Oreochromis niloticus: one gene and its partners. The protein of the gene in region 4 purifies or fractionates together with the protein of the main gene of each other region. This does not show direct contact. Links are inferred from orthologs where the notes say so. Each region holds a gene or a part of one and is shown on either strand. Other genes may lie near its edges. The genes, in order: kmt2cb, paxip1, pagr1 and kdm6a.

The links.
Region 1: the proteins of kdm6a (region 4) and kmt2cb purify together in Homo sapiens (affinity purification with mass spectrometry; 3 studies listed by BioGRID and IntAct, with this or other methods). This does not show direct contact. The link is inferred for Oreochromis niloticus from reciprocal best matches to the Homo sapiens genes KDM6A and KMT2C.
Region 2: the proteins of kdm6a (region 4) and paxip1 purify together in Homo sapiens (affinity purification with mass spectrometry; 6 studies listed by BioGRID and IntAct, with this or other methods). This does not show direct contact. The link is inferred for Oreochromis niloticus from reciprocal best matches to the Homo sapiens genes KDM6A and PAXIP1.
Region 3: the proteins of kdm6a (region 4) and pagr1 purify together in Homo sapiens (affinity purification with mass spectrometry; 5 studies listed by BioGRID and IntAct, with this or other methods). This does not show direct contact. The link is inferred for Oreochromis niloticus from reciprocal best matches to the Homo sapiens genes KDM6A and PAGR1.

Annotation. Positions count from the first base shown.
Region 1 is NC_031982.2:16,678,392-16,685,843, forward strand, and holds the start of kmt2cb (histone-lysine N-methyltransferase 2C), read left to right. Parts: upstream 1-4,434; 5' UTR 4,435-4,454; intron 4,455-5,207; exon of another isoform or gene 5,208-5,986; intron 5,987-7,452. UniProt on the Homo sapiens protein: Histone methyltransferase that catalyzes methyl group transfer from S-adenosyl-L-methionine to the epsilon-amino group of 'Lys-4' of histone H3 (H3K4).
Region 2 is NC_031982.2:752,235-759,914, forward strand, and holds the start of paxip1 (PAX-interacting protein 1), read right to left. Parts: upstream 3,008-7,680; 5' UTR 2,882-3,007; coding exon 2,801-2,881; intron 1-2,800.
Region 3 is NC_031973.2:16,564,388-16,572,301, reverse strand, and holds the start of pagr1 (PAXIP1-associated glutamate-rich protein 1), read right to left. Parts: upstream 3,002-7,914; 5' UTR 2,766-3,001; intron 2,521-2,765; 5' UTR 2,489-2,520; coding exon 2,317-2,488; intron 711-2,316; coding exon 374-710; intron 287-373; coding exon 198-286; intron 107-197; coding exon 1-106. Other genes in the region: kinesin-like protein KIF22, read left to right, coding at 3,766-3,953, 4,061-4,188, 4,373-4,524, 5,638-5,847, 6,266-6,662, 7,142-7,262, 7,483-7,582. UniProt on the Homo sapiens protein: Its association with the histone methyltransferase MLL2/MLL3 complex is suggesting a role in epigenetic transcriptional activation. However, in association with PAXIP1/PTIP is proposed to function at least in part independently of the MLL2/MLL3 complex.
Region 4 is NC_031987.2:31,115,241-31,122,223, reverse strand, and holds the start of kdm6a (lysine-specific demethylase 6A), read right to left. Parts: upstream 3,003-6,983; 5' UTR 2,534-3,002; coding exon 2,364-2,533; intron 2,219-2,363; coding exon 2,155-2,218; intron 1-2,154. Other genes in the region: fundc1 (FUN14 domain-containing protein 1), read left to right, coding at 3,973-4,042, 4,513-4,663, 5,908-5,983, 6,070-6,198, 6,303-6,380. UniProt on the Homo sapiens protein: Histone demethylase that specifically demethylates 'Lys-27' of histone H3, thereby playing a central role in histone code. Demethylates trimethylated and dimethylated but not monomethylated H3 'Lys-27'.

The DNA of each region.
Region 1 (7,452 bases), on a different chromosome or scaffold from region 4:
TGAAAATTAGTCCTTAATGCTGATAGCCAAAGGGCACCAATTAAGCTCAACAACCAGAAAAGAGCTCCTTGAGCATTTATCCATTCGCCATGAAATTATGCTTTGTTTTGCTGATGTGACTTATTGTATTAAAGCACATTTATCTGCTAATAATTATATAAACCTACAGCATAAATGTACACTGAATTATATTGCAAGATGAGGAAATGTGCATGAAGACAAACTGAGTTTGAATGCTTCACCTTGCCATCGGTTACCTGACGAGAAACAAATCTTTATGAAGACTGCACACAAATGTTTGTCTTTGAGCACATTTAATTATCTCTTTTTACTAATATTACTTTACATTAATAGGCAGGATGCTCCTTATTAAACACTATAAACTAGGTACTATTTGAATAAATTGATAAACAATAGCAAAAAAAAGAAAAGAAAATGTAAAATATATTGTATTGGTAGAAATAAAACAGACAGGTTGCATTTTTCATGTTGAATTACAGAGAGCAATTTGATCCTGTTCCTGTTTCCAGTGTTGTGTGAAACAGTAGAGCCATGCTGCCCTCTGTCTGCAACATACCAAAATACTTCTTTATCCCACACTAATGAGCTTTTTGGAGCATTTCCACCATGTCTAAGCTTTGCAAATTAAATTACATGCTTGTTAAATCTTAAAGAATAGTTTATATATCTCATATGGTGGTAAAGCAGGATTCCTCACTGTGTAAGTGGCTGGTGTGTATAGAGCAACAAATATTAAAGAGGTTTTTGTGTTTTATTTGACATTGAAAGAGCTGAAAGGCTTGCTTGTTTATTACATCAGGGATTTTTATGGAAGAGGTTTTGACACGTGGCAGAAATAACCACAGGTGTAAATAAAAAAATCAGTGGTTTGGGGGTGCTGCTTTTGTTTGCGCTGGCACACAGTTACACTGAAACATAGCCAGTGTTTGTCATACTAAAAATGCATGTACTTTTAGTGGTATAATGAGTCAAGCTATATGTTGGCCAGAAGGATGATTTTTGACAAAAGCTGTGTGATCTCTTTAAATTTAAATTCACTTCCAGTATAAAACATGATGTTACTGTCATTATTGCTTTCATTGCATACGAAAACAGTCGTTTTAAATCAGTATTAAGTACAGAGTCGCTCTAGTAATTACAGTCTTGAGTCTCTGTGGATCAGTCAGTGTTGAGTTTGTAAATGAAGGAATTAGGCCAACAGGAGTATCAGCGATGCAACGCTAAACAGGAGCTTTGTGTTTTCAAGGTAATTAGGTCAATGGGTGGTTAACGGTGTGAACGTACACCCACACAAAGGTCACATTTTAGAAAGCGATACCGATGAGTGTCGTGTCTCATCCTTACGTGCTGTCAGGAAATACTGCTGACCAGAAATTTGACTTCACAAAACCTGGTCCAATATATATCAAGTTAAGCTGTCTCAGCAACACCTTTCCAGTTCTGGAAAAAAACTTACAAATTCTTTGAACAGATGAAACTAAGATCATGTAGTACCCAGTAATTACGGAGAAGAAAAGGAAAAGTTCAAATGATCCAAAGTGTAGCACGTTTGTGTCCCATCTGTCAAACGTGTTGGGGGAAATGTTAGGGCACGGCCATGTATGCCTGCCAGTGGAGCCGGGTCACTAGTGTTTATTGATGATGGTTAAGTTGTGAAGGATGAATTGTGAAATGCACAGGGCTATACTCACTGCTCAGAGTCAGCCAAATGCTGGAAAAGAGTGGGCAATGCTTCACAGTGCAAATGCATAATCACTCAAAGAATGCTGCAAAAAAAAAAAAAAAAAAAAAGTTTCTTGAGGCAAAGAAATACGATCTTCTTCAATGGCCAAGTGCGTCACCTGATCTCAGAACAGCTTTTCAGTCACAAAACTAAAGGCAGAAAGACCCACAATCGCACAGAAACTGAAGGCAGCTGCAGGAAAGATTATGCTCTAGCATCTCATGGGAGGAAGCACAACATTTGGTGATTTTCATGGGTTCTGGACCTCAGGGACTTATTAAATAAAATGATTTTTTTTCTTATACTTAAAATTATGTTAGTTTGTCCAATTACTTTTGAGCCTTTTGAAAATGAAGAACTACATATAAAAATGTCTCTAATTCCTAACCAGTTAATGCAAAAGGTTTGTTAAACCCTGTGAATTAAAGCTGAAAACATACACTTCCATCAGTCCATTTTCTTCCATTTATTCAATTCAGGGTTGGAGGGGGCTGGAGCCTGTCCCAGCTACCATAGAGGCAGGGTACACCTGGTATAGGTCACGAGTTTATCACAGGGCTAACACAAAGACACAGACAACCATTCCCACTCACATCTATGGGCAATTTAGAATCACCAATTAACCTAATTCCACTAACTGCATATTTTTGGACTGTGGGAGGAAGCCAGATTACCTGGTGAGAACCTACAAAAATGCAGGGAGAACATCCAAACTCCACACAGAAAGATGGAGATAAACCCTGAACTAACACCCTGCCACTGTGCAGTCCTGAATAAATATATGTGTATAAGCAAAAGGTCATGAGAAACCCATCATTTCTTTGTTTTACTTCCAAGGAGCAAAACTTTCTTGTAAATTTTCTGAAGGTCAGTCAATGTTTTCACTCACTTCCAGCCCAGAACAATGTTATTGTTTGTTACAGCACTTAAAACTCACCTATGAATCATTCAAGTGTAAAAAAAAAAGGCATCTAACTCAAGGGTTGAATGTTAACTTTCCAAAGAGTCATTATAAATTGTATCTTTCAACACTTTGTTCCTAGCAGCCTGACATAAAAACACATATTTTGTTTATTACTTTTGTTGAATTAAGCAAAATCCTCAAAGACGACTTGCCAAAGGGTTGGGATATGTCTGTATGGTGTGCAGTGTGTTCTTCAAAAAATTTGAGGAAAAAGAACAAGACGAGGACAGAAGAAGAAGTGGCAGACCTAAAACAAACAAACAAACTCTACAGCAGAAAAACAGTATCTGAAATTCATATTGTTAAGAAACGAGGACAAATCCAGCATAGACCTGACACAGGGCCTGAGAGATGCATCTATCTATTCACTGAAGCCTCAGAAATTGAAGGGTAGTTGTTAAGGAACAGGGAGAGAAGAACAGGGTATGCAAAATTACACAAGAACTGGACTTAAATCAGTGGCAACAGAGTGATAAAAGCAAATTAAACATTTCTGACTCAAATTATCATCAAATATATATGGAGGAGATCAGGAGAGAGGTACAACAGTGAGTGTCTACAGCCAACTGTATAACAAGGAGCCTGAATTTCAGCCAGGGGTGCAGGGGCTCCTGTAAAAGTTGTTAGAATAATGAATAAAAGTGCCATCGGATTTTGATCCACTGTGCAGTACCATCTGGAAAGCATCTGACTGGCAACTGCTTCTTTTTTTCCCTATCCTGCAGCCAAAGGTCCATCCTACTCAATGGATCAACAGACAAAAACTTTATTATAAATGAGTTAATGGCACATTTAAAAATGACGCATCACATCATTAAAACTAGCATATTCTTCAGAGTGATCATTTCAGTGCTTGGAAATTCAGACTGTATTTGAAGGCAGGGCTTCTCAATGTCCATATGTCCATATATTGACCACTACAAACCTATCACCTATCTTAAATGCACATCACATCTAACTTCCCATTTGTATTTTGCCTGTATTGTAGATGTTCAGGTTAGTCCTCCCTGCCCTTTGTTCTCGTTTATATTTGCTTGATGTATTGTTAGCATTATCAGATTCCATGCTTTTAGGTTGCCTGTTTGGCTGTCTCTTGCATATGTGATAACACACACGGATTATAATACACAACCTCTATTGTGCTGTTAGACAAATTATTCTAGATTTCTGACTCTGTAGCCCAGAGCTCACTATTGAGAGTAAACAAACTAATGAGTGATTATGTAAAGGAGAAGCCCTGGAAAACAGTTTCTGTGCTGCTTTGCATTGTCTCTGTAATTCTACTGTAAGGACGAAAACCATTCTTACAAAGCACACTCCCTCATTTGGTGTGTTGATACCAGTGATGGTGGCTTGTCTAACATGCAGATACTCCCACTGATGATCAGTGGAGTTAAGAGTTAATTACTGCAAATACAACTGCACATATCTGCCTTATACACACCTTAAAAGCCTCTACAGTCATTATATTTCTCTGATTTTCCGAGTGCTTGCTTTCATTTGCCACATTTTTTAATGCGCGATTTATTTGAACTATGTCGAAATGATTGCTACCAACAATAATAATAATCATAATAATAATAATGATAATAATAATAACAATAACAATAATAATAAACACTTTAGATTAGCCAGCAGGGGGAGCTCTCAGTTTAGGAAGGAGGTGCCAAGGTTTACCATTTAAAGGAATAGGGCTGCGTTTATTTCCAGTTAATTTTCTGAGGGGCTTCACTCGAAGAAACTCTGGTAAGTTGTAGTTAAGTGAGCCTTAAAATCGAAAGCAAAATCTAACCAGAGACACAACATTCTCTGCCTCTATTACATATTATCTACAGCCGCTGAAAGCCGACCCCTGGGGTCTTTTCCGAAAGTTAACCCCTGAATGTACGGTGGGTCGGCCGGTTTGTTGAGTACCTTTATCTAACACATAATGCAACGCTTAAATCTGTATACTGGGCGTGTGTATGTGTGTGTGTAGGGGGTGTAAAGCAGGAGTAGAGACGCCGTCGTATGGGAGCAGCTGAGGTACATTCGCATTCAGCCTAAACCACCAGCTCCATGGCGTATTAAAGTTAATCCATTTTTTGTGTATTTTCCCCCGGCTATGAGGAAGCCTTCCGACTGTTGGATTCTCTATAGCTACAGCTGGCAAAGATTTGCATGAGCTCAAGCACCAATGGTTTCTAACAGCTCCAACTCCAAAACGGAAAAAACTCCAGGCTCCATCTTTTCGGGCCCTCCCTAGCCATTATTTTATTTACTAAATGCTTATATCCCTCCGCAGGGTCAGAGAGTATTTTGAAGAAATTGTAAAACGGTTTATCTGCTATTTCTCGTTGCGTCTTCTAATCGGTCTTTTTAAACACGCCTCACACTCGCGAAACATCCCTTTCTCGGCGAGCCCCGTCGATTCTGAAAGATTTGTGCCCGTAGTTGTGCTGTTCGGGGGGAGGAGGAGGCGGATCTAGTTTTTGAGGAGCCTGGAGAGGGGGGGCTGTGCTTCGGTGCCACTTATCATTAGATATGGCCACCGTTACAGAGCGCCCCGAAGCGTCATCTTCAACTTAATTTTGTGCTATTTCATAATCATTTTGCAGCTCGGTCAGCGCGGCAGGCGAGATGTTGTTTTTGGCAAGCTAATGTTTGTTTTTACATGTCTTTTGGAGGCGGTTGTTACTGCGTGGCAGGATGACTGTGAGTCTCTCCTAAACTGGCCGCTTGGTCCCGCAGCTTGTCGCAGCTGAAGAAAATAGAACCAGTTGCCAACCCCCAGCGGTCGGCATCCAGCTTTTTTTTTTCTGTTGCTTTGCGGGTCGCTACACTTTACCCGAGGATTCCTACTTAAAGTTTGGCTCACGGAGCATTGACTTTAGCAGCCGCTTGGATTTCGAGGTCGTTATGTTTACACGTTAATGGTAAAATTATTGGCTGTCGACTTGGGTGGCTAACACCAACTAGCTATATAAGCCGAACTCGTGCGACGACAGCTGTCATTGGAGAAAGGAAAGTGATCCCCGCAGATGCGTGTGCCAATGAAGCGGTTTTCTGTTGGATTTACATCATCCGCTTCTCCATCAAATGGGCAAAGTTGGGAATAACATTGCAGCGCTGGAATATAATGATATGCGTTGTGCATTTTTGAGAACTGCGGTGTTGCTTCATTGGAGAGAGGCTAGCTAGCTCCATTAGCTTGCTAGCTAGCTGGGTGATAAGTGCGACGTTTCATCCCCCTTATTTTGGACATGAAGAGGATAACTCTCTATTCATAGGGCTGGAAGGTAAGCTATATTTGCCTCTTTGGCCTTTTCCTTCAATGTAAGCTGAGTTTGTTGGGAATTTACCTTTTCACGTAAGGCTGAGCCAACCTTATCCTTCTCCAGTCTGATGTTGGGGGTTTGTCGCCGCCTTGGCTTTCATGACTCAGACTATTCAACGGAACGGAACATTCAATTGAACATTTCATGGGTGCCATATAAGCAAATATTAACGCATTTACTGCACTATTCAGTGCGAAAACACACGGCTATCGTTAGTTGGAAGCTAAAAGAGAAAGAAACCAGAACCTGGGTGGTTGTGTAACGTATCGTTTTCACTTTTTGTGCATCATTGTAGTTCCCTAGAATAGTTCCGTTTCATTGAATAGACCGAGCCTTTGTGTGTGTGTGTTGGGCTCAAATGCTCCCCTTTGCCTTGCACCCGGTTTGAAGCTGGCTATTAGGAGGGGTAGTGTTTTTTAAGGTCGCTCGACAAGTTTTCTATGAGCCATGGACATGTTTAACACTAGGATTGGGAAAACAAAGAGGTGAAGCGTTTTTCACTGTTTTGGCGTAGGCGTTAGTTGCAAGTATGAGTTGGACAACTAACTGCAACCATAGGTAACCTGTTTGCTATAGATGGCCCTCTCTTTCAAAGTTGTCTTACGGGATAATGGCTCTAAAGCCAAGTACAGTCCTCTTTCGGTTGTTAACAATGATAAATGGCTTCGTTTATTTTTCCAATTTCTGTTAAATTTAGTCGACGTCAACGTTACTTTTGTCTGTGGTCGACGAAGAAAAGGCGACAGAGTTGAGCACAACAAGCTAGCAGTCGTTAGCTGGATGCAGCTGCTTTGTGCCCAAGCTTCGGTCAACAAAAGCTAACGTTAGCATGTTTTCAGCTGCTCCCGTGGTGGTCGTGACTGCCTTGTAGTTACCGGATCTTAACCTCAGATGCCCCAAGTAAAGTTCTCGTCACCTTTGAGCCTTTGCTTGTTGTACAAAAATGCTCCTTATCCGACGACTTCTTATCGGATCCTACAGTGTTTAAAGAGACAATGTCTTCAGGTTTTTTATCTCAGAGGTAACATTCCTAACTTGGGGTTTGTGCAGTCTCAACATTATTATAGAGGGTTTGTATTTTGTGTTCAGTTTTGGTGTTGGACGACGTCTTAAAGGCTGTTGAAATCAATATAATTGATAGAAAGATGTTGAATTGCCACAGACTAGCAGCGAAAGGTGGTGTTTGTCAAAGTGAGATCTCTTCTGAGTCACTGAAAAAGCCTAACTAATAATTTAAGCCATTTCTGACCACACTGTCTGCGGTGTTTAGTGCATGGATGGCACTGAATTTAAAAAGGTTTAATGTAGCACAGTTTATTATGATCGCATGTATTAAATCTGGAACTGCATGTATCCTCATGGACATTATTATATAGATGTGGAGTGCTGTTACTGCACATAATGGGGATTGATGAGACACAATTTTA
Region 2 (7,680 bases), on a different chromosome or scaffold from region 4:
TGTCAGATCTGTTGCTGGCAGACCAAAAACCTTGCTGGTTTAGGGTGTAAATGTCAGCATATTATCGTGACTGTAAATATGTGCAAAAATATATTTGTTCAATGCAATCTTCAAGACTAAACCGCCATTAAAGCTAGAGCTGGGCGATAAAACGATAACGATATGTATTGCGAAATAACTTTTTCTCGATAGAAAAATTAAACTATTGCGATAGACCTCATCTCTCTTGTCCTCTTAAAAAAAAAAGAAAAGAACAGCCAATCCAAATTAAGTAGCGCAGAGCCGAACCAATCACAGCCGCAGCGTCACGTCACATGACTTGTTACGTACAGCACAAGCGCCAAGGCGCACATGTGTATTTGTTTTTGCAGCCGGGCCGCCCAGGTAATGAAGGAAATGAGTTTGCCGACTAGAGAAAAATCAACCGAGAGCGTGAGCGAAGGTTACCGAAGAAAAAACAGATGATAGTTCCAATGCTGGAGAGCTTGTCGAACGGAAGGGCCACAGAAGTTCCGTAGTGTGAAGGTATTTCGGCTATTTCAAGTCTGACAAAAAACAGAGTAGCGCGCACTGTAAATTGTGCCGAAAGCAAGTCTGGAAATACAATAAAGCGGTGCATGCTCAGTCTCTGACTGAAAGCGCTAATTCGTCATTCGGCTTTTGTCAGACTAAAGTAACTGTTAAAACTGTTTGAAAAGCTAAGCTGTACAACAAGGAGAGATTGATGCTACGTCCACACGTACCCGGGTATTTTTGAAAACGCAGATTTTTCTATGCGTTTGCACCTTTCGTCCACACGTAAACGGCGTTTTCAGTCACTGAAAACGGAGATTTCTAAAAACGCCTGCCAGGGTGGATATTTTCGAAAACTCCGTTTTTGCATTTACGTGTGGACAAGAAAAACGGAGAAAACGCAGCGTCAAAGGTGTGCGCCTTTTTTGACGTCACACTGTGCGCCACGTTATTGTTTGGGTGAAATGAATTTCTACAATACTGTTACTGTTAATTGTACTCTCTGCAGTGTTTAAATGCTTACATATACACACATAGTTACTGTCCCTCCACACATACGACTCGGTTCTGTTTCTATGCCCCATCTTTGTTTACTATTTCCTACCGAGGCTTCTAGACTTCTGATTGGCCAACATTTCTACACGGTTAGGAATATATCGCCACCTGTTGCTTTGGCATGTTCCTAGCAGTGTTTTCCTTCATTTCTGCGTTTACGTGTGGACGGGATTATTTTTTAAAACGAAAACGGAAAATCTCCGTTTTCAAAAATACCTGTGTACGTGTGGACGTAGCCTGAGAATTTCCTTTTAGTTCTCAGTTTATTTGATATTGACAAAAGTTAGTCAATTTTGTCTGTTCTTCTGTAAAACGACCTAAGATTTATTTTTAGAATTAAAATTTTGTTTCTAAGTGGAATCGACAATTTAGTGGTCTGTTTTGTTTGTTCTATTTTGAAACTTAAACGCTTTAGCGGCTGCCTTTTGTGTAGTTTACAATATTTGCCTTTATCTGAAACTGAAGTCTCATGTTCCTTAAGTACATCTACCCTGTTGAACTTATTATGGGAAATAAATATTTTAATTAAAACAAGCTGCTAATTATTTCACATTTTACTTGTGAGCAACGGCACATTTAAATCTTACAAATATAGTTATTTGGCTTATATCGTGATATATATCGTTATCGCCTGAAATGAAAAAAACATATCGTGATATGAAAAAATCTTATATCGCCCAGCTCTAATTAAAGCCCCTTCGCACTGGCTGAAAATTGGTCTGTCACATCCCTTAACATGGACTGCATGAAGCACTAACAACCGATCATTTAAGAAATGAAAAAGATGAGAAGCCCTGTGCTCCACCCAAATCTAGTGTTAATATTAACATGTTTGATAATAATATTACAATTATTACCTGTGTGCCATAATAAACAAAGACGGAGCTGGTTACTGTAATTTTTCAGTGAATGATACTGATATAAGAAAAACTGAAATACTTTTTTTGATAAATTTTTTATCTCTCCTACCGTGCACAACTTCATTCTAAAGGAAGACACGGCACTGTCCACCACACCTCTCTGCTCTGAATAAGTGTAACTGAGCCTTTAACCGCAGCCAGACTTCAACACGACCCACTAGATTTTAGAATGTGAGGTTTTGCTTGGAGCAATCCCAATAAGACATCAATCCATGAGAAGACCGTAAAAGATAATTGTATTGTTTGTTCTCGGTGCAGATTCAAAGCGTCTGGATAGTGCCATTTGACAGGAAGGACAGCTCTTTACCACAGGTGTTCAGTACCAACGAGTGGAATTGCGGACACATGCGCAGTAATGGGCGAATAACAGAGGAAGATGCTGACAGTCATAGGTTGATGAAAAGTAACACAATACACTGGCAGTGCAGCGTTTCACTGCTTATCAAAAGTGCCAAGCAATATTACTGAGGCTAATCGTTTAGAAAAAAAATGCTAACAAGCGGCAACAGCAAGCCTGAGCCTCACAAACCGCAAGCTAGAAGCTAGCAGCTAACATGCAAAACTCGCAGCTAGTGCTAAAGGGCTGCGTGAAAGTGCAGTTTGAAGGAGCTTCTGCACAAAGTATTCAGTGAGCGAGCGTCACTTGAAAGTCTCAAGCACCGTTACGTGGGCTCACAGAGGTCAGCTAAAGACAGCTCAAATACTTAGCTACTACTTAGCTTCTCTTGCATCACCTGCTTTACAGTCAATGACTCTAGCTAGTTAGCACAGGCTACCAACTTGGCTAAAGCTGCTAACGTCCAGAACCTCACCTTTTGATCAATATCCCCAACCACGTAGAATTTGACATCTTTGAAAAGCTCATCGGAAACCTTGATCTCTTCTTCAGACATGACTGGCCATGAAGGTCGCGGCACTGTATGATTCAAAAACAGCCAGAAGCTCAAAGTGTAAAGTGCCTGCGCTGCAGCAGCTGATTACAGAACACCGGACACACACTAGCGCCAAATCGCTTAGCGCGCCTTGGACTGCAGCATTATGTGCTTGCTGAGGGGGGTCTGTCGCAAATCAACACTTCTGTATTCAGTCGCTTTGGTTTTTATATCTCTCTAAACATTGCATCGCTAAATGTAATTTATCGTAAATATTACTGGGGTAAAAGAACTCATATAACAGAATAACGGCGACGGGAATTTACAAATATGTTTTCAAATAGACACATAACCCCCCTGTGACGTAAAGGTTATTGTTTTGATCTAAACGTGAAACCAGATTATCTCAAACAGACTGAGCTGGGTTGACTTTAGGACAAATGCAATAGAATGCTTCGAAAAACGACAAACACACACACAAAAAAGCCTGACCGTGGAAAGCCGTTGAGAACCAAATAAAAGCATTCATTTCATCCTATATTTAATACTACCAACAGAATAAACTGTCATATCAAAAATATTGATATAAATATTGTGGCGAGCTCAGTCACGAAGGAGACAAAGGTGTATTTGGGAGCACCCGTTTATTTTATAACCGGCCCAGAACACTGCCGCTACCACCCTCCTCAGCGCGGCAACAACATAAACAACAAAAAAAGGCGCTCTCTCACCGGAAACACAGTGCCGAGAGAGCGGTCACTCGTCACCATAACAACATGACAACAAACACATAACTGTAATAACAGAACAAACCCCGAACAGCCCTGGCCTGCTACATAGCCCCCACCTAAGGGGTCAGTCGTCCCCAACAGCCCCATTACCCCACACAAAGTCCTGTAAGTGTCCGGGTGCCTTCTTCTGGCGCAAGTCACTCAGATCAGAACCTGGGGTGTCACCAGCATCCCCTGCCCCGGCGTCTGCCGGAGCGAGCGGTCGGTACGGTGAAAGCCTGTCCCGGTGCAACACCACCATGCGCCCGGGCCCGGCATGCGGATACGGTACACCACTTCCGTTAGCCGCTCCACGACCTCCGCCGGCCCTTGCCAGTGACTGCACAGTTTGGGGACACTCCTCTCTTGCGAACCGGGCAGTACACCCAAACCTTGTCGCCAGGCACAAAAGCCTCCCCCCGGCACTTGGTGTTGTAGGCCCTTTTCTGTCGTACTCCGGCGCTGGCCTGGGCCTGGCGGGTATAGTCGTGAACCACCTGCAGCCGCTCCCTCAGCCTCCTGTAGTAGTCCATCTCTGGCCCACCGTCAATCTCCGGCTCGGGGGGGACCCAAACACCAGATCCACAGGCGTCCGGAGCTCCCGCCCAAACATCAAAGCGGCAGGCGTGCACTGGCTGGACTCCTGAACCACAGTCCGATACGACCAAAGGACCAGGGGCAGATGTCGGTCCCAATCCCGCTGGTGGCGGCTGGTGAAAATGGCGAGCTGGGTAGCCAGTGTGCGGTTAAAACGCTCAACCAAGCCGTCGCTTTGCGGGTGGAGCGGTGTGGTTCTTGTCTTCTCCACCCCCAGCCACCGGCAAATCTCCCCGAACACCTTCGATTCGAAGTTGCGCCCCTGGTCACTGTGGAGCTCAGCCGGGACCCCAAAACGGGCGAACATCTCCTCCACCAGCCTCTCTGCCGTCGTCGTCGCACTCTGGTCCGGCACCGCGTAGGCCTCCGGCCACTTTGTGAAATAGTCCATCGCCACCAGCACGTACCGGTTCCCTGACTCCGTGACGGGGAAAGGCCCTAGGACGTCCACTCCCACTCGCTCCATCGGGGCCCCCACCAAGTACTGCTGAAGGGGGGCAGTGGAGCGTTGAGTGGGGCCCTTCTGCGCCGTGCAGGTGTCACAGCAGTGCACGTGAAGTTCCACATCCCGTCGACAGCCAGGCCAGTAGAACCGTCCCCTGAGGCGGCGGAGAGTTTTGGCGTTCCCATAGTGGCCTGCCCCCACCGAGCCGTGGACAAGCTCAAGCACCTGCCACCGCAGCGACTGAGGCACCAACAGCTGCAGGAGATCTCTGCCCTGACCGGGGGCCCGCCATCTCTGGTACAGGAGGCCGTCGTGGGTCTCCAGGTTGTTGTGCTGGGAGTAGTAGGCCTTCACCTCGGGCTCCTGACCCGACACCCCCATCCAGTCTGGGCGTTGCGCCGCCTCCAGCCAGGCCCCCACCTGACCCAACGTCGCGTCGGCCTCCTGCTCCCGCTTCAGCTGCTGCGTTGTCAGTGGGAGCCACCCCCTCCGCTGGCTGTGGCCTGAGCAGTAGCCACCCCCAGGGCCTCCTGAGCCCGCTCCTCCTGTCGCAGACAGTAGCGGCACTCAACGGCCATGCAGGGCCGTCTGGAGAGGGCATCAGCGTTGCCATGCTGCCGACCTGCCCGATGCTGGATCTCGAAGTCGTAGCCCTGAAGGACCTCCAGCCAGCGGGCCACCTGACCTTCTGGGTGTTTGAAGTTCAGGAGCCAGGTCAGAGATGCATGGTCAGTGCGCAGGAGGAACCGGCAACTGTGCAGTTATGGCCAGAAGTGCCGCACCGCTAGCACTACGGCCAGCAGCTCCCGCCGGGTCACGCAGTAGTTCCTCTCGGCTCGCCCCAGAGCACGGCTGAAGTATGCCACCACTCGTTCTCCGGCCTCGCCCTGCTGGGAAAGGACCGCCCCGACTCCTACATTGCTAGTGTCAGTGTCCACAATGAAAGGTTGCCGGGCGTCGGGGTAGGCCAGAACTGGGGCTCTGGTGAGGGCCTCCTTCAGCTGTGCAAAAGCCGCAGCACAGGCATCACCCCAGCCAAACGGCTGGCCCTTGTCAGTCAGGTGGTGGAGGGGGCTGGCTATCGTCGCGAACCCCTTGATGAACCGACGGCAGTAGGAGGCTAGGCCCAGGAAGCTCCGCAGTTCTTTGACGTTCGAGGGAGTCGGCCAGTCCCAGACCGCAGCCACCTTTGCGGAATCGGTGGCGATACTTTGAGCGCTGATCACATGGCCCAAGAACGTAGTCTCTCTCGCCAACAGCTGGCACTTCGCAGGGTTGAGCCGCAGCCCAGCTCAACGGATGGCGCTGAAGACCTCGCTCAGGTGAGACAGTGCACTGTCGAAGTCGCCACCGTGCACCAACAGGTCATCCAGGTACACAACACAGCGGCTACGAGGGATGTTCACGAGCACCCTCTCCATCAGCCTCTCAAACGTCGCTGGCGCATTGCAGAGCCCAAATGGCATGACCCTGAACTGCCACAGCCCCTGTCCAATGGTGAATGCAGTCTTAGGCCTTGCTTCGGGGGCTAGCTCCACCTGCCAGTAGCTGCTGCGTAGGTCGAGGGAGCTGAACCAGCTGGAGCCGGTAACGTAATCCAGGGCCTCGTCGATCCGTGGAAGCGGGTACGAGTCCTTCTCGGTGACTGCATTGAGACGGCGAAAATCCACGCAGAACCTCGGGCTGCCATCCTTCTTCCCCACCAGGACCACGGGTGCCGCCCATGGGCTGTTGGACGGCTCGATCACCCCAGCCGCAGCCATCTCATGGATCTTTTCCTGTGCCACCTGCCGTTTGGAGAGGGGCAGCCGGTGTGGGCGCAGACGGATGGGTTGAGCAGAGCCTGTGTCGATGGTGTGCTGGACCAGGCCCATCTGCCTGCAGTCTTTGTCACTGGCGGCACAGATGTCCACATTCTCGTCCAGGAGGCACCTCAACCGCTGGCACTGGTCAACGTTGAGACCTACGCTGCTGCGCTGCCACAGGTCACCAACAGCCTCGGTTGTCTCGGTCGAGGGAGATTTGTTGGGCTGAGAGGCCGGGGCTGAGGTGCGTAGAGATGACCCGGAGCCACCGGCACCCGAAATCTGCTGAGCGGCAGCCGCCCGACGCCTGTCTCGTCTGGCTCGGGTTCCCTCCGCTCGCTGCTTTTGACCGCACTGGAGGGCAAGAGTCTCTGTGCCAAGAGTGATATCCCGCTTTGCGGTGTTGACGCAGGCCCCCCAGCGGGTCAGCAGATCAAGGCCGATGATGCACTGGTCTTGAATGTCAGCAAGCCAGAAGTCGTGCACCAGCTCCAGGTCCTTCACTCGGACCCGCAACGGTTTCTTCCCCCGCATATCAGCCCTCTCACCCGTCACCGTCATCAGCTGGGTGTCGGTGGGCGACCAACCCTTCACCAATGGCCCGGACGTTCCAGGGAGCACGCCAGGTCGTATCAGGGAAATGGTGGACCCCGTGTCCACCAGGGCCTGGCATGGCAGGTCCTCAACACAGCAGCTCAGGTAGAGTCACTTGAGGTGCCCAACTCGGCCCACCACCGTGCATCGTCCTTGGAGGGGGGCAGGAAGCTGGAGCGGTGGTCCCCTCACTACACCGCTCCCTCCCTGTTTCCCTGAGGCTGCGTAGTCCTGGTCTTCGGGGCAGGTGCTGGGCAGTCACGCGCCACGTGGCCAGGCTCATCGCACTGGTAGCAGCGGTCGGTCGGTCGACGGGGACGCCTCCGGGGCACCGAGGGTTGCAACTGGCATATCTCGACGACCTCCCCTCCCCGTCGCAGTCTGCGACTCTGATTTGGGGGCAGTTTGGGGGGGCACCTGCTGGTTAGGTTGCGAGGTGAACACCAGCTCGGCCCTCTCAGCCTCAAGGAGCGCCTCACGGAGAATTTGAGGCATGGCCAGGCGGACGTGTTGACGTAGTCGCTCTGGAAAAAGTCCTCGCAGAAAAGCATGCAGGCTAAGCTCCTCACGGGCTGCTGCTGGGAACTCTGGGTAGCCACGACGAGCATG
Region 3 (7,914 bases), on a different chromosome or scaffold from region 4:
CTTCCTGTGCGCATGATGTGCTCCTCAATCTTGCGGTGTCGCTTCATGTCTGACAATACTTTGTCCAGCCGAGCTTCCCTTCTAACAGAGGAGCGGGCAGAAGATCCTGGGAGACAACAGGCAAAAATCATTATTAATAAAAGAAAAAAACCCTCCAGATTATAAAGAGACACCACATATAATTGATTGTGACATACCTGGAGTCCTGCGTCGGCTTAGGAAGGCATTTTTTGGAGTGGTTTGCATTTGCTCCTCATCAAAGTCAAACTCAGTTGGAGTTGGAGGCCTGAAAAACAAAACATGGTTAACAACCAAAAGCACTCAAACCAAACTCCTTAATCCTGAAATGACCAAAAGGAAAAGCAACACTGACTTGCGTTCCCTCTCCTGCCTCTCCCGTTCCTTGGCTGCCTCCTCCTCTTCGTCTCTTTCGGGCGAGGAGGTCTGTTCAGGCGTGGGGGGCCTTCTAGGAAGGGGCACAAAGTTCAATTCCAGCATCTCCCCTTTAGCGAGGAGCTCATAGAGTCTTTTGATCTCTGCGGGAGGAGGCACCCAGTTTTTGGGGTCCTCCATTTCCTCGTCGCTGTACGGAAGCTCCCAGTCACCGTCCGCCTCTTCGGCTTTCTGTTTTCCATCTTCAGCCTCCACCCCTGCGTCTGCCTGAGATTCATCCTGCTGCGCCTTTCCTCCCACTGCATCTGTGTTCCCATCTGAGAAAAAACACGTACACAGTCAGTTTAAAATCTCTTTTAAAAACAATAATGAAGCGACATTTTATTGTGGATTAACCCTATACCTGGCTTTGATGTAGCTCCTCCCCCTTAGTTTAGAGCTACGTGCTTTTGTTTTGATTGGCTGCCCCTCAAAAGGTCGGAACAGCAGGTCGTGTGGCTGATGTGTGAGGCGACCACATAAAGAATATTGGCTTCCACTGACAGATCCATGTGTAGATTGTAGGCTGGACTTTTGAAGGGGATTACTTGTACATACACTGACCTCAATATGTGAAAGTTTAGCCATGTTTAATAGGAGCAATCAGCACTGCTAAAAGTACTGTATGTATGACAGAAAGCAATACATAATAGGTCCAATTTAAACATCTTTCAAACACACTGCTTTGACTTCTCTGTGACAAGCTGTACGTAGGGACGGACTGATATGTCAACAAAACATCAACATCAGACCCACTGATGGGCATCGGGGTGCAAATAGCAAAACTATTGGAAATCAGTGGTGACATTTATTGATGGCAGGAGCCAACATTTCTCTCGTGTGTAATATATTCTCTGCTGCAAGTGATAAAATAGCCAAAAGACTTGAAGTGATCAAGTACATCAGGGCACAGAACAACACAGACTTTTCTAATGAAGGCTGAATCAGATACTGAGCAATTCTGGCTTTACTGAATAGTTTCATAGAAACTATTTTTTAACTTACATTTTTTTTTAATTAAAAGACCTCCAACTTTCTTAAAGTTCACAATTGGATTGATTATAATATTAATATTTTGTAATGTTTTTTTGTTTTTGTTTTGTTCAATAGATGGTTTTTGCATTTTATTGCCGTCTTTTAACCCTGGAAAACAGTTTGGACGACTATGTTGCTTTTTAAAGTGCTCTAGATTGGATAATCTAGGTATAATGACGCAGACTCAAAAAGATACTTAATTTCTGTACTTTAAATATACATCCCCATCATAAATCCAGTTGACTACAGTCTATATACCATATATATATATATATATATATATATATATATATATATATATATATATATATATGAGCAAATACATTACAGTTAAAAACAGAAACATCAGAAATCACTTTTGGACACAACACTGGTGCTCACAGCTTATATCTAGTCCCAGCAGTCTGTTTGCTTTTTCTTTTTAACTTTCATACAAAGAACTGGCTCAGGGTGTACCACACCAATGCCAACTCCAGCACCACACCCACGCCAGACACTGGGTGAATAAGCATTTAAGAAAATGGGTGGATATATTCACTCATTTTGCCTTTTGTGCCAATTTGTTAAAATGTAAAGACTTAGGAAGCCGACAAGGTAAGTACCTACTAATAAACCGGTAGATAACTGACCGTGTTTCAGCTGTGCTTTGCTTCCTTGTATTTCCTGCACACTCCTGCATGACACTTGTGCATTTGTCCTTGGTGATACTTCCTACTCACACTAGTTACCTGTACAGGACATGCTTGTCCACACTGAAGACTTTTAACCTGATAATGAAACTTCCTGTCTACTGTGCGTCCTTTCACTACACCTGCCATGCATGCATCTATCTTTACACGTGTACTGTACCTGTATCCTCCTTGGCTGTTGCGTCGTCCTCCTCTGCGCTCCCTGCCATCTCCGTATCCGGTTGCTCCGTGCTGTCCTCGTCCTCTTTGCCCTCTGCAGCTTCCTCTGAGTCCTTCATGTTCAGAACCTCTATGCCCTCTTTCAGTGAGGTGTCTGTGGCCTCAGCTTGCATGCTTCCTGCTGGTGAAGTTTCTCGCAACAGATCTGCTGAACAGAAGCCTGCCATTTAGATCTAGAAAACATTTTAGTGCAGCTGAAACTAACTTAAGGTATACACAAGTGTGTGGGATAAGAGGATTTTTTAGAGGCTATAACTTTTAGCCGTAGCTGTTTACTTTTGTTAAAGGATAAGTGAACGTATAGTCAACTAAAACAAGCGGCTAGCTAACGTCAGGCCTAACCGCCAGCTATTTCTTAAACAGTAGTTAGTCTGCTAATAACATACGTGCCTTAAATCGTCATTAACGGCTTCTTCCGGATCAGTGCTGCTGTGAAAGCGATTAAAACGTTGAGTCAAATACTTTTCCAGTAAAAACTCCCCATGAGAGTCACTAAGTATAACAAACGCTTATGCACAGACGTAAACATAGCGCCATTTTGGCTGTAGGGATCTGCCTGAGCCTCTGCACCGCTGGGGCGGGGGGAGCTTCACCTCACTGTTGATACAACGTCATGTGGATAATCCACACTCACTACGAGCGGACACTCCAGCAGTAGAGGGGAATGGTTTGGAGATCTACGCTCGACGCGACTTCCTGCACACTGCGCAAGCGCGAGCAGGTCTTAGGGCAGACAGGGCGAAATTTGTATTAGCGTCCTTTGCTTTTCTGTTCATGTTGTTCTTGTTGTTTTTAAAGCGTGCGTATATGTACGTTTGTGTAGCGTAAACTTGACAAATGTAATCAGAAGAGCCACAAATCTCATTAATATGGACGCATGACGTAAAACAGGCGCCAGTATTTGTGCGAGTTCTGATTGGTTTACGGCCGTTTCCGGTTTCTGCGCTCTGCATTTGAAAAAGTGTTCGGTTAGTTCCTCAAGTTTTTAAGGGACGCGGTCGCCATTGTTAAAACCAAGCGTCCGAAATGTTGCTGGAAGGACAATTTAGGGCATAACAAAGGTGTGGCTTGTCTCGGACATTCTCACATAATATCGGTAAGCATATAGCAGGCTTTGGCTTTGGGACTATTATTAGCCAGGCGAGAAGCATCCGTTCGCGAGGGAAGTTATGACTGAGCTATCCAGCTTTAGCTTGTTATTAGCCGAGAGAGGCTTTCGTCAGTAAGGAAAACACAGCTTATCGGGAGAGGTTTCATTTGAGTGGCATGCGTTTTCATGCAGTGCTGTTATAAACAAACTGTCTTTTTCAAGCACGTTCGTGGCTAACTAGTTAGCTTATTTGTATTTTTTTTGTACTTTATTCGGGCCTTTCTTTGTGGAAGCGCAATAATGGCGACGCGTGTGGCGGTATCAGATGGAGGAAACAAGAAGACATCCAGGGTCCGCGTAGCTGTTCGTCTGCGACCCTATATGAACAAAGAAGACGAGAAAAGCGAGGGACCGTGTGTAAGAGGCCTGGACTCTCAAAACCTGGAGATAATCAACTGGAGGAACGCCACAGAAACTGTTAAATACCAGTCAGTGCCTTCATAATAATCTGTTATGTATATATGTATGTCGGTAAAGATTTCAGTGATTGTCTAGCTGTAAATATTAAGAGAGCTGTGGTTGTTGTTGTTTTTAGCTTCGACGTTTTTCATGGTGAACAAACGACACAGCAAGAAGTTTTCCTCTCATCAGTGAAGCCCATTCTGCCGCACATCTTGAACGGACAGAATGCCAGTGTGTTTGCTTATGGACCAACAGGAGCTGGTATGTTGAAGCACAGTCTACAGGGTTTCAAGAAACGTGTATATTAGCTGTGCACATGCATTTATAAATTAAGCTGTTAAGACTTGAGAGAGGTCACAATGATTTTTCTCATTTTGTTTATAGATATTTTGGCTCCCCAAAGAGACCATTTTCTAACTCTAGGCTTTTGCATCCTCTTTCACAGGTAAGACCCACACTATGCTGGGGAGTTCAGAGCAGCCGGGTGTGATTCCCCGAGCTGTTCGTGAGGTCTTCAAGCTAGTGAAAGCCAAGGATGAGAGTGATGGATGGGACTACAGCATTGGCATGTCGTATTTGGAAATTTACAATGAGAAGGTATGGTTGTTTAAGTAGACACAGCGTACAATTACTTGTGACTTTCTGTTCATGATTAAGTAAAGTAATCTAGATGGTGGTCGTTCAAGTTGAGGTGTTAGAAAACATTGTCTTTACTTTTAAGAAGTGTGTTTCTGCGTTTTTTAGCATTATAGAGCGCGGGGGGGGATTCGTGGTTGTTGTGTTTTTGTTTTTTTCTAGATTTAAATGGATCAAATGAACTTTTGGTACTTACTTGTTCCAAAGGTTGTAAAATAGCCTCAAATGTCTCCAAACAGCCGAGGTATTGAATCTTGGTTACCTTAATTGACAGAACTCTATGAATTTCCCTGTTATGTCACTTTAGCAAGTGAAACTTGTAGTGTGGTCAATCTTTAATACCTGATTAAAACCCTGTATTGAAAATAAAACTGCCTTTATGTTCATTTTAAAAGTGGAAATATTTCCGTTTCTAATGGATAATTCTCTAGAAATTCTATTAATACCCATAGAAGATTTTATATTGACCAAAAACTGACTCCCTTAATTCTGCAAATTTAAGCCAACAATATTATTATGCAGATGGTGTAGTCCAAACTAAGATGTTTTGGCACATGCAGGGTAGTCTTGGCCCCACCCAGCAGAGCTGTATGTGAGAATGCAGATATCTGACGCAGTCGGATGGGATGTTAGCCAGCCTTTAACCTGCCAGCTCTCTAATAAAAAAAACAGTGTCAGATTGGACAGCTCTTACCTGCTATATTCATGCAGTTCCCTTTTGTAGACACCATCCACTACATCTCGGTAGTATGAAACCTTTTGAAGCAGACTTATTTCCTGTTGCGCTACATGTCAAAATGAACAAATGTGGAAAATATCTGAATTGGTTTACCTAAAATTTCATGTGTGAAAACATCTTCAGCCTACCCATTCAGTTTCAGATCACTGGCCCTCAGCATGATTTAATAAAACAAGGGGGGTGCACATAGCTTTTTAACCTCCAGTCTTCTTGAATTTACTGCAAAAGCTTCTAACTGCATTTTCCACAGCATGTCCTCTGAACCTTTAAATGTACCTTTTTTCTTTTAGTGTGCATCATTCATCAATTACCGCTTTCCTTTCTTGTTCTCTCAGGTGCTTGATCTTCTGTCGCCAAACTCCCATGATTTACCCATCAGAGAGGACAAAGACAAGAACATCCTTATCCCTGGCCTGACACATATGAACATCACCAACTTCGCAGATTTTGACAAACACTTTGTCCCTGCGACGCTCAACCGTACTACAGCTTCTACTAAGCTAAACCAGCGTTCCAGCCGCAGCCACGCTATCCTTCTCATTAAGGTTTGATGGTCTTGGTGTAGTTTATTGAACTACTTTATTCGTTAGTGTCAAATGGACAGCCAGACAGCATCTTAAGCAGGTCGTGGTCTCTGAGCAGTAGGCCAGGATTTGGTAGCTGGTGCTGAAATCAATTCTCTTTTGCAACAGTCCCACTAGCAACTTCTGTGCTTCCTGGGATTACTATGGGAGAGAAACACAAACCATTATCTGCTGTCCTTTTTCTTCATTTATTCGTTGTTTTTTCCCTTTATTGTCATGCTTTTTCATAAAATGTAATCCTCTTTTTTTTTTTTTTTTTTTTTTTTTTTTTTCTTTTTCTTCTCCTTTCACCCCATGACTCTTCACCACCTCCTTGTTTTTCTTGCCTGACTTCTGTGCCGCTGCTGCTTTTCTGTTCTTAATCTCTGCAATGACATAGGTTGTGCGGACTCAGCAGCAACTTCCCCACAGACAACAGACAGGCAAACTGTACTTGGTCGATTTGGCTGGCTCAGAGGACAACCGCCGCACCGGCAACCAGGGCATCCGTCTGAAGGAGAGCGGTGCCATCAACCTGTCTCTCTTCACACTCAGCAAAGTTGTGGACTCTCTAAACTCAGGCACTTCGGTGCGCGTGCCGTACAGGGACAGTAAACTGACACGGCTTCTGCAGGACTCTCTGGGAGGCTCGGCACACTCCGTCATGATCACCAATATTGCACCAGAGTACAAATATTATTTTGACACCTTCAGTGCACTCAACTTTGCGGCCAAATCCAAGCTCATTGTGAACAAACCCTTCACCCGTGAAACTGTGGCTGTGCCTGTGCTGCCAGGTGAGTGAAACTGGGTGAGAAAAGCACCCACTTTTTTCAGTCATGGGACACTAAAGTATAAAAAGGCATTTTTATTGGGAAAGAGGAAGAGTCTTGTCACGATTTGAGCCAAAGGCCAACAGGGGGCACCCATGTCACATCCCAGAGGATGGTGGCTAACAGTAAACAGCTAACAGTAAGCATCCATCTGACCCAGCAGTTTGGGTCAGATGGATGCTTATTTTTGTTTTTTTGTAAAACTGGTGCTCCACTTGCATTTTTGCCGTTCTGATGTTCTCTTTCCTACTGCATTCTCTCAAAGATGGTCCTCATGTTTACCTGCTGCTGTTGGCTTTAATTCAAGCACTGCAATGCAACTTTGACTGATGCTGTGCCATTTTTGTCTGAGTTGCTTTACACTCTAGAGAGCCCCCACAGACACCGTTGCTACAGTGCACTGAATACTAAACTGTTAATTTTCCATCTGCCTTCGTCTTCAGTGAAGCGGTCCAGAGAGGAACGAGAGACAGGGGGGTCTGGCACTGAGCCACAGAAGAAGAAGCATAAAGAGGAGAAGAAATCCGAACACGATGGTTCCTCGCCCTCTACACGTAACCACAGGTTATAGACCAGACTGATTATTTGTTTGGCTTGTATTATGATGTCTGACTGAATTGAAAGGCTTTGTGACGGAGAAAAATGCTGTTGTGTGTAGGTGTGTCTGGAATGCCTGTAAACATGACTTTTTGATACCTGACTTGTTTCAAAGCCCCGATCGTACTGTCTGCCCCATTTTTCAGCCTCTCTTTGTCTGATATGATTTGTTTGTCTGCCTCTTCAGTTCGTCAGACCAGTCACTGATGGGTAGACTAATAGCTTTGGAGAAGAGAACGATGAGCTCCCAGGACAAAGAGAGACTGGCCATGCTTAAAGAGATCAAGGTGAAAACGCACACCTACATCAAACCCTGAGCTTGTCCACATGGATGGCTAACTTGAAGAATGCTGTTTAGTTTAGAGTTGCTCTAAGCAGTGCTATCGAGAGGACAGTGAGACAGCATCTTAAGCAGGTCGTGGTCTCTGAGCAGTAGGCCAGGATTTGGTAGCTGGTGCTGAAACTAATTCTCTCTTGCAACAGTCCCACTAGCAACACCTGGGCTTTGTGGGATTACTATGGGAGAGATACAAACTGTCATCTGCTGTCCTTTTTTATAAATTGACATCTTCATGCATGCATACATGGAAATATCAAGTTGGAAAGGCTGTAACATTGG
Region 4 (6,983 bases):
ATGCACAACGTTGCTGCACTGTTTTTAGACAGATATAATTAACTAGCTGCACTGATCCTGAAAATCTGCGCAGTGTTTATCTGTGATCAGTTCTACTGCTCTGCAAAAAAAGGCAACCTTCCATATACTGGTTGTTTACAGCAGAGGCATATTTTTCAGAGATTCTGGCAAAGTATTTTTTCAGATAATTGACTCAGTAACTCTTCGTTATTACAAGACCTTGAGGCGACTGTTGTTGGGATTTGGCGCTATATAAATAAAATTGAACTGAATTGAATTGAACAAGACCTCATGAAAAAAAAATTCTGAAAACATTTTTCTTGTTAATGCACCTTATCTAGTGGTCTACAAAAAAACATTCCCGCATGATTCGTCACTGCACATACAACTACGCTAACCTATAGGGCTGTGATGTATCAGAAACTGGTTTAAAAATCCATGCACATTTAAACTACTGTTGTTCTGCTCACGAATTCTGCTTTTGGTGCAGCAGTGAAGTCTGTAGAGACGGTGTCAATCAGCAAGGACCACTTTTGGAACCATTTAAGCAAATTATCATATATTGGACGATGAAAAATCTACTTGTTTCTAATATTCACTATTCATTCGAACAGAGCATCGTGCAAAAAATTAGTCACCTCAAATTTTTAAATGGTAGGATGCGGAAAGAACATAAGAAGAATTGGGTAAAAGCGTAGACTCATTTTGGAAGACACAACTGTATTCAATGGGATACAATCTAAAACACCATCACCAAGAAAGACTCAACAACCAGATGTTTTAAGTTTAACGTTATGATGTTGAACGGTCTGGTTGTCCAGCTATCCAGCAGAGTATGAAGGACAGCAACACCACAAATGTGCAAAGAATGAGTGTAATGGCTCGGCCTAATCTGAAAGTAGACCCTGACAAAACAACGTCCCAAGAAACCTCTTCAACAAGAAACCCAGAAGCCACATGTTGAAGACACATCCAGCACAGGCAGCTCAACTGTAGTAACATTGACTGCATGAACAGGGTTGATGTGTTTCCAACAGACACTGTGCAATCAACTGTAAACCCTGCTTTGCACTTTAATCGTGCATCTTTGTTCTAAAACACAACGCCACCGTCGTTGTATCTTTTATGCGAATGGTGGTTAGCCTAGCCACCGCTGCTAGTTAGCCAGTCAGCTAGCAAACCTTTGCTAGGTATTTTCTCCCTATCCCCGCCATCTTGCGCCAAGTTGAGCAGCCATTATTTTTGCAAGCTTAAATTAATACATAACATTGTTTTTTTCATTCTTAGTGTTCTCCAAGTTATGCCGTAATAGCTATACGTGAGAGCAGGAAGGGGGGTAGGGGGTGGGTAACCGCTGGACAGTTAGCTGCTACATGCTAACAGAGTGAGCTGACGCACAAACCAAACTCTGCCTGCCGTTACTGAGGGGACGGACGACATAGTGCGACACTAATATTTCTGTTAACGTCTCTCGGTAAAAGTCAAGAAAGTCGGCGTTTACCGTATTACCAGGCTCGCTGTAATCCCTTTAGATTCAAAATACCGAGTTAGCTTGGTAGCAAAGTATTAAATTTGTTAGTCCTACAGTTTACAACGTGTGCTTGACTATCTAGCATTATTTAACTAGTAATAACCACTGTAATATTTTTTTTTCACCCATACACGTGCCTTCCACTTATTGTGAGTTTTGTTAAAAGAAATATTTTTGCTACGCCAAGTATGTTTTCAACACTCCATAAAACGCTATCATGTACATGGTTACCTACTCTCAACTACGGATGACACCACCGATTTGAGCAGGGTGGAGATTCCCATCTCCCTGCAATCGTACTGTAGCCCTGTCGGTTAGTTTGGGCATGTTTAATACTAAACATAGTAATAAACATAGCAGAAATACACTGGAGTTGGCTCGCTGTGTACCTGGCACTGTACGTGTTGTCTTGCGAATGCAATGATGTAAAACTGAGGGCTGGTTTGTACATTTAGCCCGCTGGTTCAGCTTCAAAGTTGGGGAAATTATGGTTTGTGTATGTCGCTGCTGGCCTTATAGCAAGAGTGGCGTTGGGGGATCTGTACCACTTATTTCATATGGGATATGCACTCGTCTGTGGAGATAACGGAGAGAGGCGACTGTGATCCTATTCTGTGGCATACCTTTAACAGCAAGGCCTTCGTTCTGGCGCCATCTTCTTGAAGCCTATGAAATCCAAACAGTGAACTGCAAGTAGAGGACAGACAACACAGGCGGTTCCGTATTACTTGGAGGGGAGGGGGGGCAATTGTTGTTTCCAACTGCGCGAAGAAAATTTATTATTGCAAAAAAACTAAGCGAATTAAACTATTTACACAATAGAGCGTCTAACCTGTCAATTCCGACCAAGCTCTCTTTCTCTTGCGCTGTTAGCTTCGGAAAGTCCTCTTCGATTTCAGTCGCTTTTCCCGACGCCATTTTCTCCTCGTCATTACCAGCAACGCCGAGACTCCGGGCAGCAGCAGAGGCAGCGGCGGTGAGCGACACTCCGCACGATTTCATGGAAAAGAACTGGGAAGATCAACGGCACCGAGCAACTCCGCCAAAATGCAGTCACAACGAAAGTGTTGCACACCTATCCAGGATTAAAACGGGGCGTAGTGTAATTCTTGCCAAATCCTCAAGGAAATGATCCCTTCAAGTTATCTTCCACACTCCTCATTGTACATCAAACTCAACGTGTATTCCAGTGCCAATTTATGCATGAAGTTGATGTAATGTTGGGTTTTAGGAGTGAGTGTTATTTGATAATATCTCAAACTTCCCCAACCATCGGCTCAAAGTTGTTGTAATTGTGTCACACAGGCAAACGCATGCCGCCACCTTCGACACGCCCTCTGCTCATTGTGCCCAATCAGCGCGCGGCATCCGCGGTCACGTGGTGGTCTCCTGTTGACGTGTTGCGAACACGCGCACGTACACATCAAATCTGCTTCCAAGTCCCGCCTCACGTCCTGCGATTGGTTCTTCAGGCTGTATTATGATTACGTAACTGTTTTTGTAGGTAACGTATTGGTTAAAATAGCTGTCATATGTGCCAAGGGTATTTGTTGCAACGTCGCACATGTACTTTTTGACTGATAGATGGATAGATAGATGGATAGATAGATGCTTATTAGCTCAAGAAACGGGGAACTCATTTTCATCCAAATAACACAAATAAACATGAATTTAAAAAATCAACGACTGAATAAACTGTGAAATGAACTCCATTGAAAGCAAACTAAAGTGACTAAATAGTCCAGAAAACTCTTAACTATTCCCTTTTTGAAGTTTTGTGCCGTGTTATCTATAATATTTGTGTTTTAAGCTTCAGGAGGACGTCAGCGAATGAACACAATGCCTTGCTGTTCCAAAAAAGATATTAAAAAATCCCCATAAAAATAAAAGCTATATAAAACACAATAATAATGTTTTAATATATTTACTATTTGTTTCTTTATTTTGTTTGTCTGTTTTGTCTTTCTCTACCACTAGGCACACCGGGTTATTTCGAAACAAATTCATCGATTTGGTCCATAAGCCACGGCAGGATTTCTTCTGCTAATTTAATAGTGCAAAAATAACCTAAATAAATGAAACCTGTTATTGTCAGGAATTGTTTTCCTAATATCGGTTAGAAAAATAGGGGGTTAACTTTTAGAAAACCATCTCCACTTGGAATGCACTCATTTAGAGTTATTCTTAAAAAACAAAATAGCCACGACCAAAACACCTTTAGCTGCCCATACCTGTGTCCTAACAACCTTCAGTGCAGTGTATTGGAGGTCACGCGAAACTTGGATGGAGTTGCGAGACTGGCAAAATCTCCAAATGTTTCATAAGAAAGAAAAACATGTATTATTGTTATCATTATTATTATTATTATTATTACATAACGTATAACGTTACATTATATGTAGGCCTGCCCATGTCTCGGTTTCTTTTTCACCGTCAAATTTATGCAAATGACGCCGGACGTGAAGGCAGCTGAGGACAGACCAGTGCACTCCAAAATGGCGAATAGCAAGGGTAAGGAGGCCTGTAATGTTATTGCATGTTGTTCGGATCCAGGACGGTCTCGACACCGTGGGTGCATTTAGTAACGTTCGCGTTGCTGCTACGAAGCCTTGAAGCCGTTTTCCCGTTTCCTCTGTGGCGCTGACTCTCTCTTGGGCCGCACCATTTACAGCTAGCATTAACTTTTCACCTGTTAGCTTTAGTTGTGTAGTCATGCTAAGTTATTGTTAGGCCCAGGAATTTTAGTAAGTTGTAATGGAGCCCGTAATGAAACTATTGGTATCTGCCTTTGTCATGATAGATCTTGTTAAGTAAAAAAGCAGGAAACTACTACAGTTTATAGTTGAGTAATGGATAATAGCGTCTAGAATCGTGTGTTGATTTTGTAGCATTAATGTAACTGTGCTTGTAAGGCTTGTCGCTGCTGCATTCATTGTTATTTCATGCTAGCTGTCTTTTATTTTTCCTTGTATGTACACAAGTGGAAGATGAGATTTACGACAAGGTCGTGGATCTGACAGAATACGCTAAACGTCAGCGATGGTGGAACCGCCTTTTCGGAAAGAATTCCGGCCCCATAGCTGAAAAATACTCTGTGGCTACACAGATTGCAATAGGTGGAGTGAGTGGATGGTAAATATTCTCATTAAAATGCATTATGCTGCCTTTAGCGTTCCTAGTTAAGCACTTCATGTAGTTGTAGTTCTAGTAAATATGAATGGCTGAGAAACACCCTAACGCAAAATTAGAAAATCTCAAGGTTAATTTAGATGGTTATAAATTGCTCTGTGTCTCATCTTGTTTACAGTATATTTTCTGTTGGCTGATTGGACACGGATGTCTTTATTTCTTAAAGTACTATGCAAAAATCTCTAGCCACCCCACATTTCCTTTGCTAGGAAAATATGAAATGTGTGCAGACATTATTTGAAACATGCAAACATATATGTCATACAGTATATAAAGCAAAACAGAGTTTATACAATACTAATGACCTTGAAAGTGATCAAGGTCATGAGTATTCTTCAACAGCCTGAAGTCTCCTCAGAAAGCTTTCGTCTAATTCCTTTAAGCACTCTTCAAAGATAGTTCTTCAAAGTTCTCCTTTGAATGCCTTTTGTTCCATTCTTTGTCATGATGATCTCACACTGCTTCAGTAATGTTGAGGTCCAGGCTTTGCACAATTGGTGGCTGACTGCGTTCCACCGTGTTTTTTGTTTGTTTTTTGGAGGGGGGGGGGATTCTATCCAGGTATACCTTTAGCAGCGTGTATGGCAGCAGTTTCATTATTTAGTTTCAGTTTCCAAATCAGACACTTTGGAGATGACATTGCATGGTGGATCAAAGAACTTTTACTGTGTTCATGAATTTATTACTTTTGACAAGCGATTTACAATCCAGTTCTTGTGTCATTTGGCATACCTCAGAACTTGGAAAGGAAAGTCCAAAGAAAAAACATTAAAAGAGCATCAGAAGGGCTGGAGAGCTACTGCTCAAGGCCACTTTAAAAAATGACCAGGAGGCCTGGCTCCTTGGAAGCAAAATATATTGAAATGAGGAGTAGCTCAAAACGTTTTGCACAGTATTGTATTACATATAGTGCATGCTCATCTCGCTGTTCACATGTTACTGTAGCAGAGAGACAAAATTGTATTTTGCCATCACTTAAGAAAACAAATTTCACACTCCCAACTTTATAACTCTGCAGTTAAGGTATCTTGCAAACAGTGTCTTAGTTATACTTTATCAGTGGGACCTTTCACATCATGCAAACCTTATGACAGTGAATGGCCACCTCACAATGGTCATTGTTAGGCTAACTTGTGTCATTATTATTGTTAGATCAGCTACTATGCTCTCTTTTCAATTTGCCTTAGGTGTGCAGGTTACCTCTTCCAGAAGGTTGGAAAAGTTGCTGCTACTGCAGTGGGGGGCGGTCTTCTGCTTTTACAGGTATTATTGCATCGCCCTGCATAAATATGTGCAGGTTAAGCTTTTCAACACGTTGACATTGTTTTCATGAATCTGTCTTTCTTCAGGTAGCTAACAACAGTGGTTATATCCAAGTGGACTGGAAGCGAGTAGAGAAGGATGTCAACAAAGCTAAGAAGCAGTTAAAGAAGGGAACAGATCAGGCAGTCCCTGAGCTCAACACATTTGTTGAGAAGGTAATTTTTTTGTGAGTTGTCTGGTTGATTGTGAGATCATTTTCACCCTCCCGTTACAATGAAAAAGCGACTGTGTCATATGAAATATGATTTGTATCTTTCAGTCCAGAGAGTTTGTGAAGAAAAACATTGTCGTCACAAGTGGCTTCATCGGAGGATTCCTTCTCGGCCTGGCATCTTAGGACCTACCGAATGAGAAGAGTGTATTATTGGGGGGTTTTTTGTGTTATGTTTCTGATGTTATAAAAAGCTATAGAGGATAATTATAAGTCTTTGCTTATAATTAGCAATATTATAATTAAGTTCTCAAGAGTTTTAACAGCAAGTGACCAACAGATACCAGTTTAGCTTGGAGCTCTGTGTTTTTACTTAAGCTGCATTGCAAACCCTTCTGTTTATAACATCGTACTTGCAAGTATTTTTGATATAGACGTGGGACTTATTTATTAGCCCAGAATGGCCGTCTTGAAACACTCCAGTTTTAACGCCAAATAATAATACATATCATGGAAATTAAATTAAAAAAGGAAACCCAACAGAATGTTTCTGTTATTATGTATTTATTAAAAAAACGGACAATGTTCCAGAAGGAAAGATTTCCCACTGTGGTTGTGCACAGTTGGGGCAAATAGATTTCAGTTCACCTACACATGGCAGGGGATGCATGTCTTTAGGGTATTCTATCAGTGCCACTGTTAATTTTTATATTTTGGTTCAACACGTTATAATCAATCATCTTCAAAGTAAACACTGGGTTACACCAGTCTTTGCAGTCTCTGTTTTTT